4 linked regions of the Notamacropus eugenii genome follow. The protein of the gene in region 1 purifies or fractionates together with the protein of each later gene. This does not show direct contact. Links are inferred from orthologs where the notes say so. Each region holds a gene or a part of one and is shown in the gene's direction. Other genes may lie near its edges. The genes, in order: MKLN1, ARMC8, GID8 and ZMYND19.

Region 1 (7,847 bases):
TAAATTCATCTTAATTTTTTATTTTAGTAATTTGATTTTTTCTTCTCCTTTATCTGATTAACCAAAGGTTTGTCAACTGTGTTACTCCTTTTGAAGAACCAGAATGTAATTTTATAATTTCTATAGTGTTTTTGGTTTTTTATTTCTAATTTTCAGAGTTTCCTCCTTTGAACTTCTACCATCTTTGTGAGTTTGATGTTTCCCTGGTTTTAAAAATTGCTAGTTCAGCTCATTAATTCTCTCTCTTATTTAACTTTTGAAGTGTATATTTTCATAGTAGAATTTTTTCCTCTGAGTAATGTTTTAGGTATACCTCCAAAAATTTGTTAAAAGGGCTGCTAATTACTGTTCTTTTTAACAGGTTCTAATTGCTTCTTTGGTTTATTCTCTGATCCATTCATACAGGATTCACTGTTAAGTCACTATTTTGGTCTTATCTTTTGCTTCACTATTTCTATTGTATTATGGCATATAGATGCTGTATTTCGCACTTTGACCTTTTTACATTTATTTACTTTCTCTGTGCTCTATTACATGGTCTGTTTTCGTAAATGTACCATCAGGTACTGAATAATATGCATAGTCCATAATATTTCCATTTAGAAGAACCCATGTTTTTCAAATCTAACATTTCTAACATTTTGTTTAGTTTATATCTTCTTCCTTTATCTGTTTTAGATTTATTCAGCTTTAAGAAAACAGTAATGTATCCTATAGTTATTATTACCATCTTTATATTTTTGTAATTCAGTTAACTTTCCTTTATGAATTTAGATGTCCTCCCATTTAGTGCATGTGCTCAATTTTGATAATATTTCATTTTGAAGGGTACCTTTAAGCAGAATATAGTTTTCCTATTTATCTGTCTTAACATTGAGAATTTTTATTTTTGCTTTGTACAAGAGCATGACTGCAACCTCTGCTTTTTTGAAATCATGTCAAATAGTAAATGCTGTTTGAGCCTCACTTTGATTATATAATTTTCATTTTTTAGATTTTTTTGTATGTCAAAAATTGGTGGATTTTGTTTTCTTATCTATTGTTATCCTCTTTTTTTTTTTATTGAATTGTTTAATCCATTTGTATTTAAGGTAATGATTGTTAGGTTTGTGTTTTTCATTTATTTCTTTTGTATTGATTTTTGTTCCTTCCTTTTTTAAGTCAGCTCTTTGTACCTTTGATTAGTTTTGGTGATACTGCTTTGATTCTATTCTATTCCCACAGGCTTGTCATCCTGGCTCATTTACCTGATATCCTAAATTACCTCAGTTTACTTAAGATGTTAATTTTTCTTTCAAAATTGTTAAAAATATTCTTCCACCTCTCACTCAGATAAATATGTATTCCATAATTTTCCTTTCCCCTTCCAACTTCTTAGATTAAGTAGCATTCTTTTGTTGTTCCAAGAAATTTTCACTTGTTTTTTTTCTGTTTTCCTCATTTCAGTATTTATTATGCATTCTATTCTCCCATTCATTGGCTATACCTAGATCTTTACCTGTTATTTCTTTATTCTATTTCCTTCATTAGAAATGGACTTTCTAGAGTCCCAAATTTGATTTTCTTCTCTCCTATTTCTGGAATTGCCTTTATATATCTTATTTACCCTATCCTCCTTACCACCCATTATTCTATATACGTATGTATTAATTTACCTTATTTTTGTTTTGCTTTTGATGGGGTCTTCTGCTGTGTCCTACTCTTGGAGATGACAATTAATAAAGAAGGAAGCACATAGTGACAAGATTCACTTTGGAACCCAAGTCATGAAGCTTAATCCTATATCTGGCCCTTATCATGATCACTCACCACTTTTCAGACCAGATAATTCTATCTCCAAATCTCCTTACCCCTTGCCAACATGGGTGCTGAATTTTATAATATGTTCAAAGCTGTCCATTTTGCCATTTTTTCCCTGAAATTCTGTTCTCTAATTTCCCACTGAATTTCTCTACTAAAAAAACCTGGACCCCTCCTACCATTGCAGTCTTCTTATACCTTACTCCCCATTATGTACTTGGCTTTCTAGTGACACTGACCTTGCTCTTTCTTAAACAGAATTCTTCATATCCTTCCTGCCTAGGAGGCTCTCCCTTCTTATTGCTGTTTTCTAGCTTCCTTCAAGTCCCGGCTAAAATCTTACCTTCTACAAAAGCTTTTCCCCTGTAATACTAGTGCCTTCCCTCTGGGGATTACCTCCAATTTATCATTTATCCATCTTTTTTTGTGTTTAGTTGTTTGCAACTAAATTGTGAACTCCTTAAGTTTAGGGACTGTCTTTCACATTTCTTTGCATCCTCAGTGCTGAGCACATAGTACATAGCAGGCACTTAACAAATGCTTCTCAACTAATATCTTTTCTTTTTAAAGTTTAATTACTCTTATCAAGTACTTTGGAATTCATTTCTGTTGTTTCAAGATCTCTGGGAATTTGCAGAATATTTTTTTCCATTGGGGGATTTATCATTCATTCCCTAGCATAATAACATAGCATGATAGTTCAGTTTTTTTTTTTTGGTAGTTTGTATGCATTTTTTTTCTTTTGCTGTTGATCTACTTCGTATCTAGGCCTGTATCCAGCCTTTTTCTTTCTCTTTCAGTTTTTAAAAAAAAATGTATTTTTAGTAACTTGTCTCTGGCTTCCCTCCTCATTCTTGTCCCTTTGCCCTTCTATTGCTATGGCACAAAATGTCCTCATCGTCTTCTGTTTGGGGAATATGGGAGATTTGTTCCCTGCCCAAAGTAAACTTTCTTAACTCATTTATGAAAATAGTTCAAAATCTTCCTTCCCCCATGGACTTACATTCTTTCAAGTGGCTTCGCAGAATTAGTTCCTTCTGCATCTTGTCATGGGGGTATGTATATGTGTGTGGGGAGAGGGTGTTTCAGGTCGAGCCCCAACTTTTCAGGGACTGGGAAGGCCTGCACAGATGGACCCTGAAACACAAGCTTGTGAGGTTGATTGCACTGGAGCTGGCTAATAGCAGCTTTATGTGTTTTAATTCTCTCATGTAATTTCATGAGGCATTTTCTTCCTCTAGTGTTTGTTACCTTGCTAATTCAACTGTAGTTACTATATATTAAGCACATATTTTGACTTTTTGTAGGTTAAAGTTACATAGGGAAAATAAATTACTGAGTCATCTCATTGAAGAGTCACCTCAAATTACCCACTATTTACCCTCCATGTGGTACTCAGCTTTTCTGTATCATTCTCTACTGTTCTCCTTCAACTGTTCTTTCAGTATCTCTAGGCTGAGATGGAAGATGATGGCCTCATTCATCATTCCAGTTTAGATATAATCTCACTGTTTCAATGTGTAATTAATGACATTTTAACTGAAAAATTTCCTGGGGTAGATTGCATATTATGTCACAATACACAAATGACTCATGTATACATTTACATATTAAATATATTTGTGATTCTTCCAACCATTTCTTGAAGCATGGGATCATTTTAGTGGGGGCTAGATTTCTGATGCTTTCAGTTTTTTGCTCCAGTAAATGAGGAGATGGGGATAAGATCTTCAGAAATGTGGGGAGTAGAAGACGGTTATAGGAGCAATCAAACGTGGGGTAATAAAAACAATCCTGGAGTATCAGGAAGCCTATATTCTACATACTGCCCCTGCTACAGGGCAGCTGTAGGACTTTAGGTAAGTTGCTTAGACCCCACTAGGCTGAAATCCTTTCTACTCTAAGAAATCATCCCTTCCATAGCATTTCACCGTCTATAAACTAAGAGGTTTCTGATCTTTTGGAACATAGCTGGAAGGCACTTTAGAGATCATCTAGTCTATCCTTTTCGTGTGCAGATTAGAAAACGGATATGCACAAGTTAAGTGACTCGTCCAAGGTCACACATACAGTAAGAGGAAGCGAGGTGACTTGAGTCCAGGGCCTTTCTCTCCATCCAGCATAGGGTGCTGGGGCCCCTTCCAGCTCCGCAATGACGTGATTCTAACGATCCTCTCTGAAAAGTTCAGCTTTTGGAGGCCTTGTCTGGAGCCCACTTCTGTCTCTCTTGCCAAGGCTGGCAGCGCGGAGGCCGTTCCGGGCTCTCAATCTCCAGCCTCCTAGGTTTTCCTGACCCGGGCTGGCTGGCCGGGCCCTCCCTGGAGTAAAGCCGGACTCGGACGCCGGCCTTCCCGCGAGCCCAGGGCTACCTGGATCGGCCAGGATCGGGGAGGATCCTTCGGCGGCGCAGGGGGGAGACGGAAGAGGGGCCCGGCGGCCGGGGGGGGTAAGTCCGGGGCCAGAGCGCCATCTCCGGTCCGAGGCAACGCCAAGGGGCCGGGGGCGTCGGGGCTCCGGGGAAGTTACGGACCGCTTCAGTTCAACCCGCGTTCCCCCCATGCCCACCTCGCGCCTGCGCGAAGCTGCGGAAACGGGATCCACGGCCCCCCGGCCCCGGCCCACTCCGCTCCCCAGGTCCCGGCGCCCTACCGGCTGTGCTGTTCAGTTCTAGGCACACGGGCAGACACGTGAGGAGGGGGAAGGGAGGGCGAGCACCCCGTGGGCAGCAGGCCCTCATTCTGCCTCTCTTCCCTTTCCTCAGTCCTTCGCCCCTGTGCCCTCTCCCTGCCGCCGTCCTCTCCCCGTCCCCAAGGTCTCTTTTCCCCAGGTATCAGCCTAAGGAAACACAAGAGTCTCGGTTCCGGGCGGCCTTAGGTAGAGGCGAGGACGGCGTGTCTCTACCTCCACGGGGTCGCCCCGGCTCCAGGCGCACCCGAGGGAAGGATGCTCCGGAAAGCGTCGGATGCCGAGCGCAGACTCGCACCTGGCCGCGGGGGCCCGCCCGCCGCGCCGGATGGGGAGGCGGCCCCTTTAAGAGCAGGCCCCGCCCCTGCCCTCCCGTCCCCTCGGCGCTGCCAGCGTCGGCGGCGGCCGCGGCGGCGGGTTGGGAGCTGACAAGATGGCGGCTGGCGGGGCTGGTGCTGCGGCGCCTGAGAGCCGGCTGCTGCCTTACGCGCTGCACAAGTGGAGCTCCTTCTCCTCCACCTACCTCCCCGAGTGAGTGCGGGGAAGGCCCGGGGGGCAGTGTCCCGACCCCGGAGATGGCGGGGCGGGCGAGGGGCGGGCGGCGGAGAGAGGCCCGGGCCTGCTGCTGGTGCTTGGGCTGCTGCTGCCGCCGCTGCCGCTGGGGGTGTGGGGGGAGGCGGGGAGGGAGGCGCGGCCTTCTCTGCCCCCTGGCCCGGCCGAGCCCGTCCTCGTCTTCCCGCCCCGGCCCTCCTCGTCTAGTCTGGGCGCAGGCATTAGGGCCGCCGCCGCCGCCGCGCTCGGGCCGAGCTGGCGGGGGACACGGCGTGCGGCCCGGGAGGCGCCGGGAGCTGGGGCGGGCGGAAGAAGAAGTCTCTGCGGGGTCGAGGACCGCGGAGCTTCGGGGAACCCCCCGGAGTGGGCGGCGCGTTGTTCCGGGAGAGAAGCTTGGGAGCATGGCCTGTGAAGTTGGGAGGGGGGAAAACTTGGGAGGCCAAGAGCGGGGCGAGTTCAAGTTCTCCAAGGTCCCGGGAGGGGGAGGAGCCCGCCCGGGGGGGGGGTACCCGGCGGTGACTGCGGACGGGTCAGTGCAAAGCGGGCCATCCAGGAGCCCTTGGGAAGCGCCCGGGCCAAAGGCGGCTCCCAGGCCGATAGGAAAGAGGGGGCTCCGTCTCCGGCCCCCAAGCGTCCGGAGCGTGCCCCCGTGCTAATTTCTAGATCTCAGTTACCGCCTGCAGAGGCGGGGGAGGGCTGATTATCCTCCAGGTACAGGGGAAGAAATGGACTCCGTCAGTTTAGGACGTGTGAAAAAAAGGAAAAAATGGAAGAAAGTCTTTCCCCTCTCCCAGTGCTCCCCCATCTTGGCAGAGTTTTTGTTTTAAGACCTCTGTTCCCCCCCAGAGTTTTCCCGTGGGTCTTCGCTGTGCCAGGCAGCATTGTTTTATAAGCAAACCCAAGTGTGGAGTCAAAAGAGATTGGAGTTCAGTGGGTAATAAAATGGAAATAATGTCCATATTTTACCTTGCCTCTCAGGGTTGCAGGGTTGTTGTGAACATCAAACTAATATACCTGTGTAAGCTGTTTTTATGTTCCTAATTTGACTTGGAGCTTTAAACAAGTATGTGATCTGTGTTATATAGGTCATGTCCAATTCTCGCCCCCTCAACCCCGTAGTTTCATAATATTTAGAAATTATACAGCTCTAGTGTGGTCACTAAAAGGGCATCATGAAACTGCGACTAGGACAATTCAGTCCTTTTGACTCCCAGTCCATTACTCTGTCAGACCACAGTTTGACTGGAAATCTTTTGCTTGTCACAGGATCCGGTTCACTGAATGGTGCCAAATGACCTATGGTCAGATTAGTTTTTTGTGTTATATTGACAGCTGCCCCCAAAAACCTCTTTCTCCTCCTGACTTTCCTGTTTTTGCCATTGATGTCACCATTCATATAGTTTTTCATGTTGAAGACTTTACTTGTTACCTTTGACTTTTCTTTTTCCTGTATTTTTTAAATCTGAGATTTCTGTTGATTCCACCTCAGAAACTTTCCCTCAAAGTGAGGTTGAGTGTTACTGTCATGGTCACACAGGTAGTGAGTCTTTGAGGCGGTATCTTGGAAAATACTTATTAGCCTTCCCTCTGCACGTATGACCACTAGCCTCCTTTGGCTCTCATTGCCTCCCCGTGTGGAGTCTTAGGGTAGAATCTTATTTGGTGTCCCCTCCACGAGTCTTGACTCTCTGCAGTCCATTCTTTAGTAGCTGCCTGATTAATCTTTGCAAAGTACTGGTCTGTCATTCACTTGCTCAAGAATCTTCAGTCCCTATTACCTCTAGGATAAAATACACAAAACAAGATGACTCCAGACCACCTTTTTAGGTGTGTTTTATATCATGTGCTTTATATTTCAACCAAATTGATCTACTTGTTATTCACCTAACTTGGTACATCTACCAAGGTTTCCTGTTCCTGCCTTTGCAGAGGTTCGTACTGGAAATTTCTGTGCTGGAAATGCAGTCTTCTTCCTTGATATTTAGAATCTTTAGCTTCTTTAAAGTTTTCTATGGGAAACCATTCCTGAACTCCCTAAGTAGTAAGTGCTTTGTTCTTTCCTCAGATTATCTTTTTTTGTGTTTGTGAGCTGTATCCCAAATAGAAGGTAGGCTCCTTGAGGGCAGGGGTTGTCCATCTCCTCACAGTGCCGCCTCTGTATCATCATGCTCTTCATTTCCATTTGTTTGTCCAGATCTAGTCTATCATTTATATCTCTGTATGACTTTATCTAGTTGCATAGCTCAGTTTTTAAAAAAAAAAATCTTCATTTTTCTCCCTTATGTGTTCTGAGTCAGTTTCAGACTTTTTAATCTGGAAAGCCTTCCTTTTCATTGTTCTCCAGCTCCAGCCAAACTAAAACATGAATGTATGGTGCATTTCCTCATGCTTTTCTCAACGACTGGAATGTTCTCCCTTTCCTATTTTCCGTTGTCAAATTTCTACCTGTTTTTTAAAATACTTGACACTCAAACTCCAGTTTGAGGATGAAGTCAGAAAAGCAGTCTAGCCCTCAGCTGGAGTGGGGACAAGATAATTGGTACATTGCTTCTGCTTTCTTTAGCTTTCTCATTTTTGAAAGGTGTGAGATAAGCTATAGTACCCTATTGAACTGGCAATAAAAGGTAGGGGCTTAAACAGGTGTACCTGGTCCTGCAGTTATTCTTTGAAGTATCATAGTCTAGTTACTACTAGACTACTAGTACTTGAGGTTGGGAGCTGAGACATGGTTGTTGTTGAGCTCTTGAATTGTTATGGGTCATTACTGCTGTATAAAAACTTGGACATGATGTGATTGAGTTCAGTAATGT
Region 2 (7,728 bases), on another chromosome or scaffold:
CCCTAAACCTCTCTATGGGAAGGGTAGAAAGTGGACATAGAGAACTCCTCCCAGATCCTTCATTTTAGAAAGGTGCCCAGGATAGCTATCTCATCATTTCCAATGGAACTGAAAGACTTCACAATGCCCTAGGGTCATGTCCTCTCCTTATATGAGGTTAGGGTAGGAGAATAAGAAGACACAAGATTAATTTACCCAGGAAAACTGAGTATAATGCTACAGGGGAACAAATGGACTTTTAAAGAAATAGAGAACTTCCAAGAATTCCTGATGAAAAGTCCAGAACTACAGAGAAACTTTGAAGTTTAAACACAGAAGTAAAGAGAAATATAAAAAAGGTAAACATGAATGAAAAATGATAAAGGATTAAATGAGGATAAACTACTCATATTAAAATATAGAGTTATGATATAAGTCCTCTTTGATCCCTATCATTATGGAAGAGTTGGGACTCTTAGAAGGAATTCAATTAAACAAGGTCTGGGAATAATTCTGTTATATCTTGTTGATATTTTTAAAAAATGGAAAGGAGGAAGAGGGATAGATACACTATGGGGGGTGGGGAAGAATAGGAAGATCAGGGAAATTTATTTCAAATAATAAAGGGTGCACAAATAGACATTTATACAAGAGGAGGGGATGAGGTAGGTGACTAGTTGATATTTGATCCTTACTTTCATCTGAACTGGTCAAAGGAGGGAAGAACACACACACACACACACACACACACACACATAAAGAGATTTGGATAGAAGAATATGTTTTATTCAACTGGAAAATAGGAAAATGAGAAAATGGAGGAGAGAGAATTAGAGGGAGGGCCAGTTTAGGGAGGGATTAGTCTTAAGCCAAAAAAAAAAAAACAAAACCGAACTCTAAGGATGTACAAATATATTTACAGCTCTTTTGAAGTGGAAGGAATGGAAAGCTGAGGAATTATCTGAGGGATAAACTGCAGAATGGATGAACATTCTGGAATATAAATGTGATGGAATATTAGTACAGTATTCTTATCAGCATAATGACCATCCAGGAATCCAGAGGACTAATGATGAAATGTGGTCCCTATGTCCTAATGAAGAGGTGACTCAGAATGAGAAATGAGACCACTGCGGGGAAGGAGGAAGACATGGTCAATGTGGAAATTTGTTTGGGTTACTACACATTTGCATACTGCATTTTGTTTCTCTCATGTGCTCAATTGAGGTAGGGCAGATAGGGCAAGAGGGTGAAAAGACAGATTTTGGCTGATTAAAACAAATTTTAAAAAAATTTAAACCATCAGAAGAATGGACAAAACTCACACAGACTGAGAAATCTTGGATGTGCTGTGATCCAAAGAGTGAGTACATACCCATATCAATGAAATCATAGATCCATAGAAGTACTGAAGGTCCCTGAAAATATTTCCTTTAATAGTTTCTTATACTTGTGTTCAATGCCATGCTTTCTACTATAGCTCTGTCAGTTGCTTGGTCGGAAAGTAAGTTGCATTAGTTTGAAGTTCTCAGGTCCTGCCTCTTCTTATAAATGTTTGTCATAGCTATTTGTAGTTATGCTATTCTTACAAAATGTCATATTTATGAATGGACATAAGTTTTAGCCCATTGACTATTTGAAATAACAGGTTGAAGTTAAATAGATCATAATTTTGGTCAAAAGGTCCACAATTTCATCTATTATTCTAAACCTTTCAGATATTAAATCCTATAATATAACCACTTCAAATTTGTGGCTCTGATTTAGAAGATTGTATCCATTTACTATTCTTTGATTCAGTTCCTCCAATCTCTTCATTTAAAGGGATAATTTAGAAATAGCAACTTTTCTAGATTCCTCATCAAAGGTATATAAAACAAAGTATGTGGTTGCTACACCGGACAGTTTTTGCTTAAATTGCAATTCTTTATCACAGGGAAATTTGAATGTAGAGGAAAAGTAGTGGGTTACTTCAAAATGACTGACAAAATTCATGTATAAAATTTAATTGTAAAAATAAAATCACCAGTAAAAGATTTTAAGAGATTGAATTCACTTTATTTCCTTTTATACCATGATTGATCAAGGGTGTCTACTGATTATTTAGCCAGTTCTCTACTTTGGGTCTTTTGGGTTTTTTGTTTGTTTTTGGTTTAGATCTGTTATTTCCACCGTGAAATGAAAATCAAAGCACTCAAATGTACAGGTTGTAAGCATGGAATGGGACATGATCATCCCCAAGTATCTATCTGGTAGATCAAGGAATTCCTTACTCCAAGTCCAGTATACTTTCCACTCTATAAGATGTACCATAAGTCTTAGTGCAGTTTCCTGTTTTAACCTTTTTAGCTTTTTACTTTTTTGTAAAATGTATTTTTTTTCCAATTACATGTAATAATAGTTTTCAACATTCATTTTTATAAGATTTTGAGTTCTAAATTTCTCTCCCTCTGTCCCTTACCTCCCCCTTCCCAAGAGAGTAAGCAATATGATATAGGTTACAGATGTGGAATCATTGAAACATATTTCCACATTAGCCATGAAGTGAAAAAAGAATCAGAACAAAAGGGGAAAAAAAATGAAAGCAAACAAAAAAAGGTGAAAATAGTATGCTTTGATCTGTATTCAGAGTCCAGAGTTCTTTCTCTGGATTTGGATAGCATTTTCCATCATTAATCTTTTGGAATTCTTGGATCATCATGTTGCTGAGAAGAGCTAAGTCTATTATAGAAGATCACTGCACAATGTTCCTGTTACTGTGTACAATGTTTTCCTTGTTCAGCTCACTTCACTCAGCATCAGTTCATGTAAGTCTTTCCAGGTTTTTCTGCATGTCATTTCTTATAGCACAATAGTATTCCATTACAATCATATACCACAACTTGTTCAGCCATTCCCCAACTGATGGGTATTCCCTTAAATTTTCAATTCTTTGTCACCACAAAAAGAGCCACTAAGAATATTTTTGTACATGTAGGTTCTTTCTCCTCTTTTTTTTTATATCTTTGGGATATCATAAGGGTATTATTGCTGGATCAAATGGTACACAGTTTGATTGCCCTTTGGGCATAGTTTCAAATTTCTCCCCAGAATGGTTGAAACAGTTTGCAACTCTACCAACAATGCATCAGTTCCAATTTTTCCACATCTTTTCCACCATTTATAATTTTTCTTTTCTGTCATATTAGCCAATCTGATAGGTGTCAAGTGGTATCTCAGAGTTATTTTGCATTTCTCTAGTCAATAGTGATTTAGAGCATTTTTATATAACTACAGATAGCTTTGATTTCTTCATCTGACAATTGCCTATTCATATCCTTTGACCATTTGTCAGTCAAGAAATGACTTGCATTCTCATAAATTTGACTCAGTTTTCTTCATATTTATGAAGCCTTTATCAAAAAACTTGCTGCCAAATTTTATTCCCCCTCCAGTTTTCTGCTTTCCTTATAATTTTGGCTGCATTGGCTTTGTTTGTGCAAAGCCTTTTTTTAACTTGCTGTAATCAAAATTATACATTTAGCATTTCATAACGTTCTCTATCTCTTGTTTGGTTATAAATTTTTCCCTTCTTCATAGATCATATAGCTAAACTACTTCTAGCTCTCCTAATTTGATTATGGTATCATCCTTTATGTGTAAAAGAAGTACCCATTTTGACCTTATTTTGGTAAGTGTGAAATATTGATCTGTGCCTAGTTTCTGCTTTCTACTATTTTTTAGTTTTCCCAGCAGCTGTTGTCAAATAGGGAGTTCTTATCTCAGAAGCTGGAGTCTTTGGGTTTTAGTGTATTTCATATACCATTCTAAGGTTAAATCCTTACTTGTTTGACTTTTTTTCTTCTGAATTATATAACTTGTTCTGAATTATATAATTATCTCAATGTTCATCTTCACTTTGAATACCTGGCATTAGTCTTAGGGGTCAGATACCAAAATAACGAGGCGACCTTGGCTCAGTCACTTCACCTGTCTCCGTCTCCCCCTCTGTAGGGTTTTGAGAAGCGCTCCAACGGCTACACACCTACAGGAAAGGGTCCAGAGCGGGATTCAAGGAGCCCATGACGGGACCCCTATTTTACGTTACTATCCGTGTGACCTTGAACCAGTCTCAATCTCTGTGAACATCGATTTCGTCACTTATAAAATAAGAAGGTTGGACAAGGTGCCTGACAGTTCCAAACCCAAGAAAAGTTTTCTCTTAAGAGAACATGAAAAACACTTCATTAACTCTCATCCTCTAGAGGGCCCTCACTCAGTGCGCAAAGACCTTGCCCCGCCCAGGTGGAGGGTGGGCACGGGAGCCATTCCCACCAGGCGCATGCGTCAACTGCTGAACACCGCCCCTCCCCTCCGTCTCAATCCCCTCAACTAAGATTGATGCCTATTTCCCAACAGCCGATTCGTTAGAACGTTCCTCTTTCTTTTTCCTTTCCTTATTAACAGTCCTTCCCGGAGCCACGGCCGCGCCTGAAGCAGCGCGCACCTTTCCCTCGCCAGCCTCTCCACCAGGGATAGGTATTGGCAGCGGCGGAGGGAAGGCGCCGTCGAAAGTGCCGAAGCCATCCCCGGCCTTACCCCAACCCGGTGGGAAGGATCAAGATGGCGTGTCTGCTGGAGACCCCAATCCGCATGAGCGTCCTCTCGGTGAGTGACCCGCGGCGGCTGCCCGGGGTGGGGGTGGAGGGAGGGGGCCGCTCCGCCGCCTTCCGCACGCGGCCACGTTCTCCAACGACTTCCGTGGTTCCCGTCCCGTCCCCCGCAGGGCGGCCCTCCCTCCTCAGCCGGCCGGGCTCCGGGGAGGTGTCTGGGGAGCGCTCGCTGCGGGGACTTGGGAGTCGGAGATCAGCCTCAGGCAGCGGGGCCCTCCGGGGGACCCGGAGCCCCCGGCGCCGGCGGGGCCGCCTGGAGATCTGTCCACCCCGAGACCTGGCTGCGGAGGGAGACTGATGGCTCGTCTCCCTGCCGGGAGAGTGGGGCGGCCCCCTCCCTCCGGCTCCCTGACGAGCCCCGGAGGGGCTGCAAGGGAGGGGAGGAGCTGGGGCAGCCTGCCGGGCTCGGGGTTCCTAGCTGGGGACCCCGCGACTTTCAAGGGGGCCAAGCCTGGTATCCGGGTACGTGCGGGAGTCGCTTGCGGCTGAGTTGGGAGGAGGGGGGCTCATGCTGCAAGTCCGGTGAAAGTGTTTGTTGTCCGACCTCCTTTATCTGGAGCTGTCCATGGGGTCATTTCTCTGTTGGAGCCGCCCGGGGTAACGACAGATCAACTCCTTGGAGGGAGTTCAAAGAATAAAAAGGGGGTGACCAGACGTTCACCAGCTCGGGGAGAGGGCACCCTTGTAAGCCTGGCCTTCCAGCGCTTGGAAGGCTGTCACTTAGAGGGGAGGATACCGATCGGTTTTGCTGGAGAGAGGTCGGAATTTCAGGACCAGTGGTGGAAATTTTGCAGCCCTTACAATTGGAGCTGTCCAAAAGTAGTTGGATATAGGACTGGCGAAGCGGCCAACTTATTAAGGTAGCTGTTCAAACGGAGACTGGATGGCCGCTTGGCTGTTAAGAGGTGTTTTAGAAAGCATTTCTATGTGGGGTGGGGAATTGGAGCAGATTCCTTTTTTTGACCCAAGAGACCCTCCCATTTCTTTATTCCTATGCTTTTCTTTCCTCCTCTCTGTGCCCTTTTTAATGCTTTGGGTTTTGAGCAGATGACTTATTTGTGAGGCCCCTTTGACTCTGTGGTTTTAAATTAACTACATCCCCATTTCCTTAACGGATACCGTATTTGGGGAGGATTTTGAACAAAACACCTCAGAACTAGAGAAAGGGGACCTCTTCTTATCTATTCTAGATGTAATATAGTGTATTGACAATGCAAGTATTACAGTTTTAAGTAAAAGTTTACCCTCAGCTGTCCATGACACTGTCCTAAGTCCATCTTAATAAATTTTATATACCTTACTTATCAAACTCAACACAAAGGTCTAAGAACAAGTGTTCTCATCCTGATCAGATCAGGCCATTGTTCTGTCTCTGACAATGACGCCAAAAAATATTTTTTGGAGTATAATGATAGTTTTCTTTTAGCAGCCACATCCTTATAGATTCAGCAGTTCAATAAATATTTATTAGGCAACTATTGTAAGCATAGTTCTGTGCTAGAGGTTACTTATAGAGTGTAGATTCGGCATGGCCTCTGCCCCAATGCAGTTTACAGGTCAGTAGAGTACCATGAACATTCCTAACTTCTAAATAAACTTCTTTAGTGCTATCAACCATGCATCTCTCTAAGTTTTAAGTATTTACCTGCAGTGAAAAGTAATTTTTTATTTTGTTCTGAAGCCACCTTCTTCGGTCTTCAGGGGCTGCCTCCTAATTCATGTTGTGATAATCGTTGTTGGATAGGGCAAAGTGGATGTTTAGCTCTTATCTCAGGAGATGCAGCCTGCTTGTGGAGTTGCCACAGTTTGAGATATGGTTTCACAGTTCTGTAGGTCCAGAACTTCATTTCACCGTGAGTTGTTTGGTGTTTGAGATAACTTGCTTGTATTGTCCAAACAGAGGGATGATTTGATCCAGGATACCATTTTATTAAATTTGCTGACACATTTTTTACATGACTGAAAACTTGATGTACACTATTCTGGTGATTTCTTTTGTAGTATTGAGGTAGCTGGGAAACTGAACTGTTAATCAGAAGATAGCTCAACAAGCATTTCATCGGAGAGAAAGTTGGATTTGGCTCCGCCGCTTGCTACCTGTTTGATTTTGGACAAGTTACCTAACTCTCTGGACTTCAGTTTCCACATCTGAAAAATGAGGGGATTTGATTAGATAAACTTTAAGGCTCTTTCCAATCCAAAACTTAGGATCCTATTAACAAGAGTTATCATGATCATGATCATCCTAGCTAGTATTTATTTAGCGCTTTAGGCTTTGCAGAATGCTTCAGGAGTACTATCTGATTTGATCTTCCCAACAATCCTGTGAGATGCTATTGTTATCTCTATTTTAGAGATGTGGACACTGAGTGAAACAGGTTAAATGACTTGCCCAGGCTCACACTAGTTCCTGTCTAAGGTCACATTTGAACTTTCTTCTCACTCTAAGCCTGGTGTTCTATCCACTACTTCATCTATATTTCATTCAGCCTGAAAACTCTCCCCTATACTTTCTCTTTTAGAGAATTTATCTGTTCCATTGGCTTTAATTATTACTTTCTCTACAGGCGACAATTCTCTGTCCCTACAACCTGAGGATTTTTCTGAGCTGCAGTCTTACATCTCTAGCTTCTTGCTGGACATATACACCGGGGAGTTCTGCCATAACCTCAGATTAAACATATTGACAGAGTACTACATAAATATAAAGATAGGGATTGGACCTGTGATTTTATTTATATAGGAGATGAAATTATGTTAGAATGTAAATGCCTTGAAAGCATTCATTGATTACTTCATTCTTTACATTTGTATCCCCAAGGTAGCTCAGCATCTTCTCTGCAACTTAGTCTTAGAGAATTGTCTAAAAGTACCAAAAGTTTGAGTAACTTTCCTAGGGTTACATAACCAGTAGCTGTAGAAACAGGACTTGAACCCAGTCTTCCTGGTTCAAGGCCTGCTCTATCCACTATATCCACTGATGCCTCTCATATAGATATATGTAAGCTGCTATTATTCCTGGTTTTCCCCACAGCTATGACTTAGTATAGCATTTATTACTTCCCACTTAGAATAATAATACTAATAGCTTCTTAAC
Region 3 (6,888 bases), on another chromosome or scaffold:
TGTGTCCGACTGTGGCTGATCAGACCAATATGAGCTCGGAATGCTCTACCACAGGGTATGGGTGATGTCTTTTGATTCATGAGTAAATTCGATTTAAGTGAGGCAGAGTTGCACAAAGTCATCAGCCTCACTCTCTCCTCCAGTGCCACCATAGTCCAGTGGCAGGACAGAGTCAAGACAGCTGGTGATGGCTCAGGCTGCAGTGGATAATCTTGGCATCTTCCATGTCTAACCTGCTTCAGCTGCCTTCATGGCCATTGGAACAAATTGTTCTCATCTACTCATTCCATCAGAGGAAGTCTTCACATGCTTGAGATAGACACACCCCTAACTCACTAATGGGTTTGAGACCCCTTGGTTACCCTCAACCTGCTTTGGCCTGTCACCAAAACAGTTTGCCGAGGTGTGGCCACTGCACATGTTGCAGCTTTTTGAAGCCACAAGTGAGAGTTGGGTGGAACAGGTGAACACCAATGGTGGAAAAAGCCCCCAAAAGGGCTCAGCACATAGTAGGTACTGTGTAAAAGCTTATTTTCTTTCTTCTCCCTTCCAATGAAAAGGCCCATCTTTTCAAGAAAGTTAACATATTAACAATGTCACTATATGGCAGTAGCTTATACAACGGCTTCAGAAGAATTGAGTATCATGTTTGATACACTGATACCACTTAGTAAGCTTATGACCCAAAGTGATCAAAGGGAAAGAAAATGGATCTATTTACAAAGTCATTCATAGACACATTTTAACGTAGCAAAGAACTGGAAAACAAGGGAATAAAATAAGTGGTTGAACAAAATATGTATATGAAAGATAGGAACTGAACCTGTGATTTTCTTGGTAGAGGGAACTTCTAGGTAAAGGAAACTCCTCTATTGATGCAGGTTATGACCTTCTCTACTAGGTAGAGACTTAGAGCTGCTTAGAGTACTAGGAAATTAAGTTATTTGCCCAAGGTTACTTAAGCTCTGTTAGAGTTGGAGCAAGAAACCAGGTCTTTGTGAATGAGGCCAATTTTCTAGTCATTTTGCTTCAATACTTCTTAATATACTAATGTAATAGAGTACATTATTGCTGCCAAGAAATGGCAAAAGAAATGGTACTGAACTGATACAAAGTGAAATAAACAGAAGCAGAACAATTATACAGTGAACATGTCAAAAAGGAAAAAATTTATGAGCCTTAAGAACTCTCTGATCAATACCAACCATGACTACAGAAGTCAGAAGATGAAGCGTGGTGTCCAATGCTGGACACAGATGATAGACTCTAGATGCATAATGAAATATGTATTTTTAACCAGGGCCATTATGTGGCATTGTTTCATTTGAGTCTGCTTACTTGTCAAAAAGTTGTTTTTAATAGGGGAAGGATGAATGGAAAGTCAAGTGAAGATGTGATTTAAGAAGAGGAAAAAGAGATTAGAGCATTTAAAAAACATAAAGAGACCATAAACAATTATTTTATTTATTGTGTGGATGGAAAGGTGGGGGAGTAGTTAGGTTATGAATGGCTTTGAATGCCAGAGAATTTTGTATTTCATTTTGAAGGTATTGGGAACCATTAGAATTTACTGAGTTGGGGGTAGGGAGAGATGTGTGGGAGAAGTAATTATTTCTCTCTTGCATTAATAATTAGTTATTCAATCAGAACCAAGGTTTTTCCCCCTTTCTACTTCCTCATCCAGAAATTAACCAGTGTGGAAAATCTCTCTCTCAAAGATTTACCCAGGCCAAGATATAATCAGACAGTAAAAGAAACTGTAAGTTTAGGTTAATGGGTGCATTCCTGCTTATTGTTTTTACTCAGACAGGTCTGGGGAAGTGTTGATTCTCCTTTTATCAGACAGGATATGGAAATTGATAAGTTTCTTTGACCAAGATTTGGGTAAACCAAAGACCCTCATTGTAATACACATTTTCTCATTAATTTTTAATCAATCAGAGTTTATTGCCTTAGTCAGGAACACTTACTTTTCTAAGAGCATATAAGCTGTGAACCCACCACCATGAGTGGTCTTTGGTCTAAGAGAGGGGGCCAAATGACTACCCTCTTTTAATAAATATGTGGACAGTATTAACAAAATGATTAAATTACTCAAGAAATTATATCTCTCAGACCTTTTTAAATGCCATACGTGTGACTTGGTTGGATCTGTGCTTTTGGAAAATCATTTTGGCAGCTGAATGGAGCATAAACTGGAGTGGGGAAAAAAGCTGTGGCAGGCAGACCCATTAGGCCAGGCCTGAGGAGATGAGGGCCAGTAGCAGGGTGGTGTTGGCAGTTTAGGAGAGAAGGGGGCATATATGAGAGACGTTGCAAAGGTAAAATTGACAGTCCTTGGCAACGGATTGGGTATGGAGTGAGTGGAAGTGAGTAGTCAAGAATGACATCTAAGTTATATATTCTGTATAAATCAATAAAATATTAAGCTCCTACCATGTTTTTGATACAGTGTTGGGGATACAAAGATAAAAAAAAAATGGAACAGGGGGAACCCAATGTAGGCATACAAAATGGTAGCTGGATTGATCAGGAAAGGCTGCATAGAGGTATTAGTTGTGGTGAGTTTTGATAAAAGCTAGGAGATTCTAAACTGCAGAGAGGGAATGTAAAAAGTGAGTCCCAGGCTTGGGGGACTGCCAATGCAAAGGCAGGAGATGGGAATGTCCTTGGGACCAGTAACTAGGACAGTCTGGTTGGATGGTGTGAGAAGAAGGTGAAACTCTAAATTAATTCTGGAGTAAAAAATGGTATCAAGGTATCGTATTGCAGAAAAACAGGTTAGGTTACATGGTAAGAAAGAGCTAAGGACACATGAACAATCAGTGTTTCACTGGTACCCTCCCATTTTCAGAAGCGAGAATGGTAGGAAGGTCTCAACTACCTCTGGAAGTCTTGTGGGTGGACAGACATGGATGCGTTTCAATCCATACTATTGGAAGGAACTTCTCAGCCAATGGGTTAACAGAGCTATTTGAGTATTTAAGAGCCAAGTGCTCCAACAGAAGATACAAAGAAACATCAGATCCAACCATCTAGATGTTCTCGTTTGGAGGGATGGGGGGTGGGGGTGGGGGTGGCGGAGAGGAGAGGAAAGAGAGAGGTTAAAGTTCTAAGTCGATAACTAACTACTTGGAAGGGAAGGACGGGAGGGGAAGGTCAGACTAGACCTCGCATCGGTATTTAAACAAAATTTGAAGGAAGCTTCTGTCCAAGAGTTGAACCAATTCGTGAGCTGTGAAGAAGAACGAAACTACCCTTCTCCCATCTCCCCCACCAAACAAAAGCGGGGGGCTTGTCCACTCGGTTGTAATCCAGTTATTGACCAATTTGGACTGAACCCTAAAGAAGGCACACTGATCCTTAACATAGTCCTACTACCGTGTCCCGTTCTTCGGCCGAGCAGACCTGTGGGATATTAATCCACATCCGCTGGTTTCCCACTCGCTCCTCGGCTCAACATTTTGTGCCACAAACCCAAGTCCAACCTACTCGCCAGCTCCGAGATCTGAACCAACAATTTCACCAACAGCCTTAGTGGGAGGAGTTAGCGGCCCCAGGATGTTCCACACTCAGACAACTGAGTGACGCAATCATCACGCGACGCTCACCTAAAGAGTCCATTTTGGCCTCTGGAGATGTCCTCTGATTGGCTCTCGTCTCTTCCCATACATCCTCTGGGGAAATGCTGGCAGAGAGTTGGAAATGGGGCAGAAAGAAAAAGTTTCTACGTAAAGGCGGAAGCGACGATTTTGTCTTTCCGGTGTCCTTCCCTCCCCCATCCCTTCACGGGAAGATTTTATTGGCTGTCAATTAGGAACTCTCGCGAGAGATCGTTGAGCGGGAGGGGGCGGGTGGCCCATCTTCCCTCCTTTGCGGCCTCCGCCTCCTTCTCCTCAGGCGCTTCTGCCGCCACCTCTCTCCCCCTCCCCCTTCCCCGACCCCCTCCCTCGAATCGGCCTCGGAGAAGGGGCCCTTGCCGAGACCGCGCAGCCAAGGAGGCGGGATCCTCACGGTAAGATGGCGTCGGCGGGGAGGGGGCCGCGGGGGGCCCAGGAAGCCGGGCCCGAGGGTGGCCTCCTCTCAGCCTCCCTCCATCCCTCCCGCCCTCGGGCTCCCAGAGTCCGACGCTCCCCTCCGCGGTGGGCGGGGCCGGGGCTGAGGGACGCAATTTGTTTTGATCTCGGGAGAGCGCCTGGTCTGGGCCTGGCGGGGCCTCCGGCCTTGCAGTTGAAATGGAAAGAAGGAGGAGGAAGGAGGGCAGCGAAGAGAAGCGGCAGCGGGCGGGCCGGGCAGTCTTATCGGCTGCACTCAGATCCTGCTTGGTCTCGATGGCTGCGAAGGTAGTGGCGCCTGCTGGTAGGAAGTCTGCATGTCGTGGAGGCGCCTCTGGAGCGAAGTAAGGCAGCCTCCTGTGTTCTGTGTGTTGATATTTACGGTGGGGAAAAACCCAGTCCAGAAGGGGTGGGAGAGTCCCCGTTTTTATCTTGTATCTTTGAAAAGGTGGCGTGGGCTATTGGTGTAAAAAATTGCACTCGAAGACGCAGGAGACTTGAATTTTCCGGATTTGGAGTCGAAGGACCTGGGTTAGCATCTTGGGTCTGCAACTTTGTATCTATATGACCTTGGGCAAGTCAGTTTCCTTCTTAGTTTCTTCGGGGGAGGAGTTTGATTAGATGCCCCTTAGATCCTTTCTAGCTCTCAATCTATGGTCCTGTGCGATTTTACTGTCTGATCTTGATTAGTGACTAAATCTTAGTTTCTTCGTCTGTGAAATGGGAGCGTTGAGAATTGTACTCACAGAGGTGTTGTGAGGAAAGCTTTGTAATGAGCTTTAAAATGTTATATCAGAAACTCTGCTTGGAGGAAATACATGCAGTTTAGGTAAAACTGTCTTCTTACCCCTTAAGAAGCCCACTGTCTCCTAGGTTGACAGGACGTGTAGGCATTTAACTTAGTTAGAAGATGATGGGTAAATATTGCCGAGGAAAGGTGGCCAGGAAATTATTTGTTTTTCACCACTTTTGTACCAGCTAGTTGAGCTTTAGGTTTTTGGTTCAATATTGGGTTTGTGATTCTTGTAGTTGCTTTTTTACTTAGGGATAATGCCTTTGGTTGGGCAACTCTTAAAGTAGCTGGGAAATGTTTAGGTGTGAATTTGAATATTTTTTTTTGTGGGAAAGTTGTGTTGTACAGTAGTTACAATTCAGATGATGTCTCCACTGGAATTTCTTTGTTCAGAACAGAGATGATACCTAAGTTTCAAATGCAATATTTACTCATAAATTATGGTTACCATAATAGCAATTTAATGTTTTAATTTTAAAACGTTGATCTTGGATCTCTGAAAAATGGAACTTACATTTTAAAATATTTTTTAAAAGAATCTGTGATGTAAAAATTCCCAGGCATCTAAGTATGCAAATTGGTGTCTAAAATGTAAAAAACATACTGCAGTTACAAAATGTTTGGAAAAAATCCAGTTTGAATTTATAAATTTTTAGATCCTAATTTAGTCCTTTTGTGTTCAACTATTACTGTTGCATAACACTGAAGAAAGTAGAATAAATTTCAGAAATTTTAAAAAATTTCCTCCTGCACAATGAAGGTCATAAATTTGAGGTACTTTTAGTTTTCGCCAGGAGAATTAACATTTGTTTGTAATAAGAGCTTTTATTAATCTGACTGTAAATGAATAATATGTTATTCCTATGCATGTGAGATTACACTTTTTAAAAAAAAACAGTTTATACATATTACTCGTGACTAAATTTTTTAATTTTTTTTTTTTTACTTTTAGAAATAGTTCAGAATGAGTTACACAGAAAAACCCGATGAAATCACTAAAGATGAGTGGATGGAAAAACTCAATAACTTACATATACAGAGAGCTGATATGAACCGCCTTATTATGAACTATCTTGTTACAGGTAATTTGGAGAATAACATTTCATAAATTCTTGAAAATTATCTTTGGTTTTTCTTATACAAAAGCAGAACTTTATCACTTAGTAGCGAAATTTTAGGTTTTTATTACGGTCCTGGGTAAATGGGCAGCATCCATATGGAAAGGTGGCCAGCTTTGGATTTAGTAGGACCTGCTTCAGACAGATACTACTGGTCTTCTCATGGATAAGTCACTTACCCTCTCTCTGTGCCTAATTTTTGCTTTCTAAGCCTATAAGTTACAGACTGGTTGCCTCAGTATAGGCAATCTAGAGTTTTCATATGTAGATGAAATCAAAGCTGTAGAAAAAATCAAATTGATTTTATGTCAAATGCTACTTGTAATCACTTCCTTATTTGAAAGCCATTTGTTGTTGTCCCCAGTTCAGTTCTCTGAACAGGGGCAGACTAGCATACTGATTCATTATTTTTTTTTAATTTTATAATGGTTACTTACATTGTCAACAGTTCATACTTATCACACAAAGAGAAAGCGTATTTCCCCTAAAATGATTCAAATCTGTTTCATTCTTAAAAAACTTTCCCTGGTTTTTGCAATTTTCCCAAGTTTCCATGGATCCTGATGTTAATTGTATTTTTAAAATATGACACTTATTGTGTGATTACACTTTAGAAATTGAATAGAGAAACATTTCAGTTCACCAAGTACTTACTAAGCATCAATTATGTGGTAGGCACTGGGAGTGAAAAGACTAAAATGAAACAGTTTATCTCACACTGCTTATATTATATTTGGTAAGGTGGGAGGGGGGAGAAAAATGGAGACATATACCCAGGAAATAAATACATAGTAGCTTCAGATGTACAATACTAAAAGTGTGCAATCTTGACTTTGGAACAGCATTCAAAATACCTTTTCTTCATCACTGATGCAGTATGATTACATAGAAATAAAACTTTAAAAAACAATATTTTAAAAAA
Region 4 (7,623 bases), on another chromosome or scaffold:
TATAAGGAAATATAAATTATATATAATATAAATAAAAATATAAAATCTATAGTCTTTATACAGCTCATGAGTTTCTACTCTGTCTGTGCTTCTTTCCCTTCCTCATTTCAAGGACCAGGACCTCCCTGTCAACACATACACAGATTAAATGGTGAAATACTGTGATCACAAAGTTTCTTGTAAATAAAGTGATTCCAAAAGAAATAGACCAACCACTCCTTTATGGACACAACTACTACCAAACATCTCCTAAACCTCCTCCTGTTTGCTTTATAAAATTTTAGGGTGTGGTACAGGGAATTCTTGTATCTCATGGAAAAGAATAGTGGAAAGGGGTGATTGTACCCCATCTGAGGATCAGAGATTATCAATAGGGGAAATCAGGGGGAGATGGCAAGGAAAATCAGTCTTGCTCTCCCTCCTCCCTCATCAATCACTTAGCTCACTGGCCCTATGGGATTCACAATATCTGGAGGCTCAGAAACTTTGGATCTTCTCTCCTCCTCCTCTTCCTGCTCCTCCTTCCTTTCAGCTCCATCCTTGCTCCAAGATCTGGATCTCTCTCACTGGCCTGGTGTTTGGTAGTCTCCCTCGCTGGCAGCTTGTGCCTCTGGCCACAGCAATAGCAGCATTGGTAGTACCAGCAATTGAAGCCTCAGCTGCCTCATGAAAGCCTAGGCATTTGCATGCAAGGTCAGTGACAGGAAGGACGCCAATCCAAGATGCAGCATCCATACAGCTTGTATCCCTATCCTATCACATGGCACCCTGCCACAGAACCTATTGCTGGATATTTTCTGCTATTCACTCTCTACCCAGGAGAGAAGCAGAGTATCTCACTTCTGGAGTGGTCTCACAAATTGGGTTGAGTCTCCTGTAAAAACTTCCTGAACGCTTGCTTGGGTTCCCATGGAGATTAAAAGGTGATATAGAAATGCTGGCTACAAATGAATAAAAGTGAAGGCTATATTTTACATATATCTACCATATTTTCCCAAAGAGTTTGTGAGCTCCTTGAGAACAAAGACCATGTCTTCTTCCTTCCCACTCCCCACCCCCAGCTCTGAACACAGAGCTTGGCGCATAGTAGCTGCCTAAAAATTCTTGTAAGACTGAATAAAGAAAAACAGAATGGATCTCATAGGGAGAAGGGGCATTGCTTTGTTTATGTCTGTTCATAGAGTGGCACCAAGGGACCAGCTGCTTGATGTCAAATTCTCAAGTATTGGGGGGAGGGATGGAAGCACACAACTTTAGATCCTTGAAATTAGTGCTAGACAAAAAGTGTTGGTTCCATAAGGGCTCTGATCTGAACAAATTTCCATTTGAGTTTGTACTACTCAGGAAAAGTAAGGAGTTCCGAACTGCAGAGGTCAGGCCAAAATAGAGGGCACAGAGTATAGGAAACAACCTTGAATTAACCATGTAAAGCAGAGTTAGAATGTAATGGATTATATGATACCCAGAATCAGTAGGATTTTAAAAAATAGCTTTTATTGATATCTTTTTTTTTTTTACTTAGCTTAGGTTTTCCCCTTCCAGAGAGACCCTTGTGTCTTAAAAAAAAAAAGAAAAAAAGGAAAAGAAAAAAATTCAACTAAACTGATCAATAAGTTGAAAAATTTCAGACTATATGCAATGTTTCATACTCATGGTCCTCCCCTACATACACATATGTGCCTGCGTGCAGCCACGGACAAGGTATCTTCTCATAGTTCTTCTTTGGCCCCAAGCTTGTTCCTTTTAACTTCACAACCTTCATTTTTTATTGTTTGGTGGTAGTTATTCTTTCCATTCAGATGGTTGTAGTCATCGCTTTTATTGTTTTCTGGGATCTGTTTATATCACTTGGTATCAATTCATGAAAGTCTTCTCTGTGCTCATTTCTTATATAGCACAGTAATATTCCATTACGTTGATGGACTACAGATCTTTATCTCTTTTCTCTTTGCCCCCTTTACTTTTACAAGGAATTCCAGTGACAACATTAAGGAATTCATGGGGAAGGCAAAGATCTTTGAGGGAAGCCAAGGGAAGTTCTTTCTTCCTTTCTGGACTTACATTTAGGCCCTAAAGGTGGTGAGCTGGATGCCTGGTGGGAAGGGTGTTGGGGTAAGGAAGTTAAAGGTCACAGTTATTTGGGATCTTGATTTCCTGTAGTATCACAAGGAGGCAGAGCTATAAGTAGAGTGGGATAACTACAGCATTGTCCAAGGAGCTAGATTTAGAGGACCTCAGATTTAGTGGATACTGACAGAATTTACAGTACTTCAGCAGTTAGAAACACCAGAATTTAGCACATAGTTAGTAAGAATTAAAATGGGAAGTTAGCAACGCTGACTTGGGATGAACTCCTTACCATCCTGCTCCCTAACAATTGAAGGCAACCCAGAAGCATAAACACATGTATTAGGATACATAGGATATTCATGGCACATGGTTAACACTTACATAATTAAATAATATAAGGATCCAGAATTTAATCTGTGTTCCTATGGATTATCCACTAATACTAATTACCCACTAATACCCACTATACCCACTAATATTCTGACCCCTCCAGGCCTTAGTAGATGCTTTCATAAGTTGCTATAGTCAAACAAAACATTCCCCATTATCTAATTGCTAGCCTTCTGGTGATGGATTTCGGCAAACTTAGGTAGGAGGATCCTTTGACCCCTGGCAGACTCACAGCCTGGTTCTTACCGGAACTCCAGATTGGCCGGATCTTCCAGAGTATGCACTGATAAAATAGACTTTGGGGACCCAAGGTCAACTCTATACCACAATGAAGCTGGCTGTAGTGGAAATAACAGTGGACTTGGAATTAGGTATGACCTGGGTTAAAAGTATACTTCTGATGCTACTTACTAAGTTATATGGCCTTGGACAAGCTTAAGCTCTTTGAGCTCTTTGAGCTTCTTCAGTCCTTGTGGAGACCAAACGAGATCATGCCTGCAATGCGATTTGCAAAGATTAAAGTGCTGTATAGATGACAGCTCTTATAAATATGTCTGGTAAAGGAAACTTGATGGCTAAGGGGAGCTCTCCTAGGCTGCCTTGGAGAAGCTGGTCTGCTTTCTCTCAGTGTCTACTAGGAGAAACATCTTGGATAGTCTTCAGTTGTGGCTTCCTTTTCTCTGACCACAGGGCCTGTGGTGATTGGCTTGAAAGGTCATTTGCCATGAAAATGTGATAAGAAGGATCCCTTGTGCAGGCTCGAAATGTAGGAAGCTTTCATTTGTGTGCACAAACCCCAAATACCCACCCATCAGGAGCTGCATCAGGCCAAGCTCCAACCCAGAGACAGCCAGCACATCTAACTATCCTGAACCAAGCGTTGCCAATCAGGATCTTGGGTTCGTTGCTCTTAGTTTCTGCACACATCATTGTAGAGGAAGATGTGAAGCACCGCATCCGTGTTAGATGTCCTTCTCCTAGGCACCAGGGTGATGCCAGATTTTTCACAGAAGAGTATATTCTCATTCACCAGGCCACATTTTTAACAGCTGCTGTTACTGACACATAGAAGGGCATGCAGCTCCTGCTGGAGCACCAGGTCTGGAACCAGAACCTGCCTGCCTCAGTTTCCTCATCTGTAAAATGGAGATAAGAACAGTACCTACCTCCCAGGGCTGTACGGAGGATCAGACCAGACAGTGACTGTAAAATGTTTGGCAAGGCGCCTGGCACATAGTCAGCACCCCATAAATGCCAGCTGTTAGGAAGGACTAAACGCGGGGAAACAACTGCCTTTAAACGAATTTAGTGTCAGCGTTCTAACAAAGAAGTGTTGTTTTCCAGTGAAGGGAAATAGTTTTCAGTCCCAAGTCCCCTGCCTCCTCCTCTTTTGGGGCTAGCTAGGCCTGGGCTGGGCGGGGAAGGAAGGGCAGGAGCTTGAGAGAAGCCGCAGGCTTCAACCACGGCCGGGGGCCTGCAGAGGGAGCGGTGCAAAAGGAACCGGAGGCCGGGGGACGAGGGAGGCCAAAGGCTCCCGCGAGCCGGGAGACCCGGCTCTCAGCCTCGGGTGGCGTCCCGATGAATCTCTAAGACCCGGCACTCCCCCTTCTGGGCTAGCTCCCCTCGAAGTAAAATGAGGCGGGGGGCTAGAGGGCCTTGAACGCCCAGGGTGCTCTGAGATGTATAACTCAGACCCTCCCGGACAGGGAGGACCAAGCAAGCGTGCCTGCGGCCCGAGAGACCACATGGACCGAACTCCAGACTCGATGTCTCGGGGACTCTGCGGCCCCTTTAAGGGCACCCACACTGCTCCGCCCCATTCCACCCCTATGGAGATTCTCGGCTGGGTTCGAAGCACAAAGCTTCCCGCGAAAACTACGTCAGAACGGAGCGCGCGCGCGGGAAGCTCCTCCCCCCCACTTCTTTCTCCCCTTTCCCCTTCCTTTGGTCCTCCGCTGACTCCGGTCTCCCCTCCTCCTTTCCCCTCCCCCTTAGTGGACCGGCGCACTCCCTATATTCCTATTGGTCCGTAGAGTCCGGCGGGCGGTGCGGCTCTTGATTGGTCCGAGTGCAGAGGGCTGAGGGGGGTGTGTCCGGCGCGGCGCGGCGCGCGGCGCGGCCCCGCCCCTCCCCTGGCTGTGTGCGCGAGGCGGCTGTGGCGGCGGCGGCGGCGGCGGTGGCGGCGCGTGGCAGGCCCCGGCCGGCGGGCGGGAGGAAGCGGTGGCGGCGGCGGCGGCTGCGACGGCCAGGGCCTTAGCCTCGGCCTCGGCCCCGGCCTGAGGGAGAGAGGGATCGCGGGTGGTGGCGGCTACGAGCGGGAGGCCCTGGCCATGACCGACTTCAAGCTGGGCATCGTGCGGCTCGGCCGAGTGGCCGGGAAGGTGAGCGGCCCGGGGCTGGGAGGGCGAACGGAGCGGGCGGAGGCCGCGGTCGCCATGAGGGCCCGCAGAGAGACGGAGGCCTCTCACGGGGGGCCCCGAGCCGGGGAAGTCCAGCAGCCGAGGCCGCGCTCCAGAGCTCCGAGGCTGCTGATCCCCGCGGGGCCCGCCCACCCACGGCCCGGGAGTGGCCGCCGCCAGGGTGTTCCTCCCTCCCCCCGGTACGGAGCCGCTTGTGTATCCTGGCCAGGCCTCAGCCCCCCGACTTCCAGCGAGGCCCCAGGGCGGCGGGGATGCCCCCCCCACCCCCGGCCACCCGACCCTGGCAGCCCGAGTCCTCCAGCCTCACCGGGGTGTCAGGTGTCAGGCTGTCTGCTCCACTCCCCCCACCCCCGGGCGCTCCGGCTCTTGGCGTGAGCGCTGAGGTCTGTGGTCCAGCGGAGGGCCAGTCCGGGGCGGCTGAAGTTTCGAGGAACGTCCAGGTTCCCGGGCTCCGTGGGATACAGCAGCATAAGTCTGGAGGGGTGTTTAGGTGTGAAGGGTCTGGGGGCGCCCCGGCTCTGGTGCTGCTTGCTTCTTGGGGTAGGTGCGGTCTAACTCCCGCGATCCCGAATGCTTCTGGGGTGCCTGGCTCGCACAAGCCTCCTTGAAGGCTTGTTTTGTTGAAAGAAAGGAAAAAGGTGTTGTGTGCCAGGTTCCAGGGTTTCCTGGCTGGTTCTGTGGAATGATCCCCGTGACCTTTCGCTGCCCGAGCGAAGCCCACTAGGAGGATAAGTGCATTTTTTTTCTACCTGTGCTAAGGTCACTGGATTGAACTAAGGAGTTTGCCTGGGGAAGCCAGTGAGCAACTAGTTACACTGTTGTGTCACACTGGCCTAGAACAGTAGGGGGAGCCTGGGGAATTAGTGCCATGGAGCAGCACCTGAGCCAGATGTAGGTGGCACTTTACCATCATCATCTTCTTCATAGCTAGCATTTCTAGAGTACGTGCTTTAGGGTGAGTAAAATGTCATGTAAAAACAGGCCTCCCCTCACCTCTTATCTACTCTTCTTGCTTTCTCCTTGTTTTCTTCACCTGATTTCTCACTCTGTTTTGTTCCTCTTCCTTTTACATATTTTGTGTATGGATTAAACCACCAGTGGTACCTGTGAACATTTTTGCTCCCTGGTGCCACCAGCACGTTCTAGTTGTTGACTGCCTGGTCTGGTGAAAAAGTCTGGTCCAGGAAAGCCTTGCTGGTGGCTTCCTGGTTGGTTCTCTTGTGGCTAGCTCTTGATAGATGAGAGAGGCAAGTAGAGTAGGGGACAGGCCCCTTAAGCATCGGCGGCAATTGGGAGTAAAGCCATTTCATTTACATGAAGGCTGGAGGTCTGTACACATGAAGAAATTTAATGGGAAGTTTATTTGTCTTGATAAATTTTTCTACTTAAGTTAATCTTTTTGATGCAGAAGAGGAAGATTCTGATAACTATCATTCCAAGACATTTATATTTAGTCTGATGACAGTGCTGATTTTTGGCCTGTGCTATGCAAAACATTTAGTACCGTAGTGAATTCCTTTACTTACTATTATTACCTCCCCTTGTTATTTACTCATCTAATTGAGGGCAGGTGAGTCAAGGTGATTAAAATAACATTTAGTTACCATCTAACTTCAGAGTTTAAATGTGATTCATAACTTCCTATTGCAATTATTTCACTGTTGGTCTTAACCTAGCTTTGTTCATGATAAATGTAATTCTTTACAATGTCTGGTTAATTTTCAGACAAAGTACACGCTGATAGATGAACAAGACATCCCACTGGTGGAGAGTTACTCTTTTGAGGTGAGAATGGTCTGTTCCTGGGGTTGGGTTGTGGTTGGACATTAAGAACCTAGAGAAATTATGAATACATTTTAATATTCTTTCTTCCTGCTCGTACTCTGGGAATGAGATTCCTCTAGATGAATAACTAACGCTAGTTCTGAATCACTTCAAGACCAGAGATGACTAAGTCAGCTAATTTTGATCAATTTTGGTAGTCCCTGACAAGTAGAACTATACTATATCCTATATTCAAATTAGAATTTGTATCAGAAACTTTGGTTTCTTCTTTCATGGCCATGTTTTTAGGAGCAGATGATTTGGGTCCAGTTTTTGTTATCCCCTGTACCACTGACGTCCATGAGGACCAGATGGTTTTTTTCCCAGAATACTAGGGATTAAGCTAACATTTTCAATGGTTTTATTTCTTTTTTCCACCAGTTTGATTTTGAAGTGTTGTTGCAAGATGGATGATTTTAAGTATTTTCCTTGTCCTATCCCAGGCCCGAATGGAAGTAGATGCTGATGGAAATGGTGCTAAAATTTTTGCTTATGCTTTTGACAAAAATCGAGGAAGGGGATCTGGACGTTTACTTCATGAGTTGTTGTGGTGGGTATTGTGTAGAGATCAATATTTCCGTCTTTTATTTGGGGTGTGGCTAGAGTTTGTAGAGTCTGCCACTTATCCATCCAGTCTCCTTAGTCTCCCTGAATAAGTCCTGTGTGATCTCTGATATGTTGGGTGGGGTGTCTGAGAGTAGTTTTAAGAGCACCAGACTGCACTGTGTATTAGACCCATGGTGCTGGAGGGGAAAGGGGAAGTGCTGCTTTTTTTCCCTTTAGAATCTTATGTTCTTCTGCTCAAACTTTGTGTGTAATAGAGAATAATATGGATTACAGAAGTTTCCAAAGACAAGGTGAACATGCTGCCTTGGGTCTTGAGGCACTATCAAGCTTTTCTCATGAAAGTAATCAGTGA

What was found.
Region 2: the proteins of MKLN1 (region 1) and ARMC8 purify together in Homo sapiens (affinity purification with mass spectrometry; 4 studies listed by BioGRID and IntAct, with this or other methods). This does not show direct contact. The link is inferred for Notamacropus eugenii from reciprocal best matches to the Homo sapiens genes MKLN1 and ARMC8.
Region 3: the proteins of MKLN1 (region 1) and GID8 purify together in Homo sapiens (affinity purification with mass spectrometry; 4 studies listed by BioGRID and IntAct, with this or other methods). This does not show direct contact. The link is inferred for Notamacropus eugenii from reciprocal best matches to the Homo sapiens genes MKLN1 and GID8.
Region 4: the proteins of MKLN1 (region 1) and ZMYND19 purify together in Homo sapiens (affinity purification with mass spectrometry; 3 studies listed by BioGRID and IntAct, with this or other methods). This does not show direct contact. The link is inferred for Notamacropus eugenii from reciprocal best matches to the Homo sapiens genes MKLN1 and ZMYND19.

What each region holds. Positions count from the first base shown.
Region 1 is NC_092874.1:119,238,861-119,246,707, reverse strand, and holds the start of MKLN1 (muskelin), read left to right. Parts: upstream 1-4,832; 5' UTR 4,833-4,918; coding exon 4,919-5,016; intron 5,017-7,847. UniProt on the Homo sapiens protein: Component of the CTLH E3 ubiquitin-protein ligase complex that selectively accepts ubiquitin from UBE2H and mediates ubiquitination and subsequent proteasomal degradation of the transcription factor HBP1.
Region 2 is NC_092876.1:329,187,925-329,195,652, reverse strand, and holds the start of ARMC8 (armadillo repeat-containing protein 8), read left to right. Parts: upstream 1-4,710; 5' UTR 4,711-4,928; coding exon 4,929-5,093; intron 5,094-7,728. UniProt on the Homo sapiens protein: Component of the CTLH E3 ubiquitin-protein ligase complex that selectively accepts ubiquitin from UBE2H and mediates ubiquitination and subsequent proteasomal degradation of the transcription factor HBP1.
Region 3 is NC_092872.1:499,008,470-499,015,357, reverse strand, and holds the start of GID8 (glucose-induced degradation protein 8 homolog), read left to right. Parts: upstream 1-3,876; 5' UTR 3,877-4,015; intron 4,016-4,283; exon of another isoform or gene 4,284-4,399; intron 4,400-5,800; 5' UTR 5,801-5,812; coding exon 5,813-5,930; intron 5,931-6,888. UniProt on the Homo sapiens protein: Core component of the CTLH E3 ubiquitin-protein ligase complex that selectively accepts ubiquitin from UBE2H and mediates ubiquitination and subsequent proteasomal degradation of the transcription factor HBP1.
Region 4 is NC_092872.1:494,368,455-494,376,077, forward strand, and holds the start of ZMYND19 (zinc finger MYND domain-containing protein 19), read left to right. Parts: upstream 1-4,604; 5' UTR 4,605-4,790; coding exon 4,791-4,841; intron 4,842-6,605; coding exon 6,606-6,665; intron 6,666-7,147; coding exon 7,148-7,254; intron 7,255-7,623. UniProt on the Homo sapiens protein: May be involved as a regulatory molecule in GPR24/MCH-R1 signaling.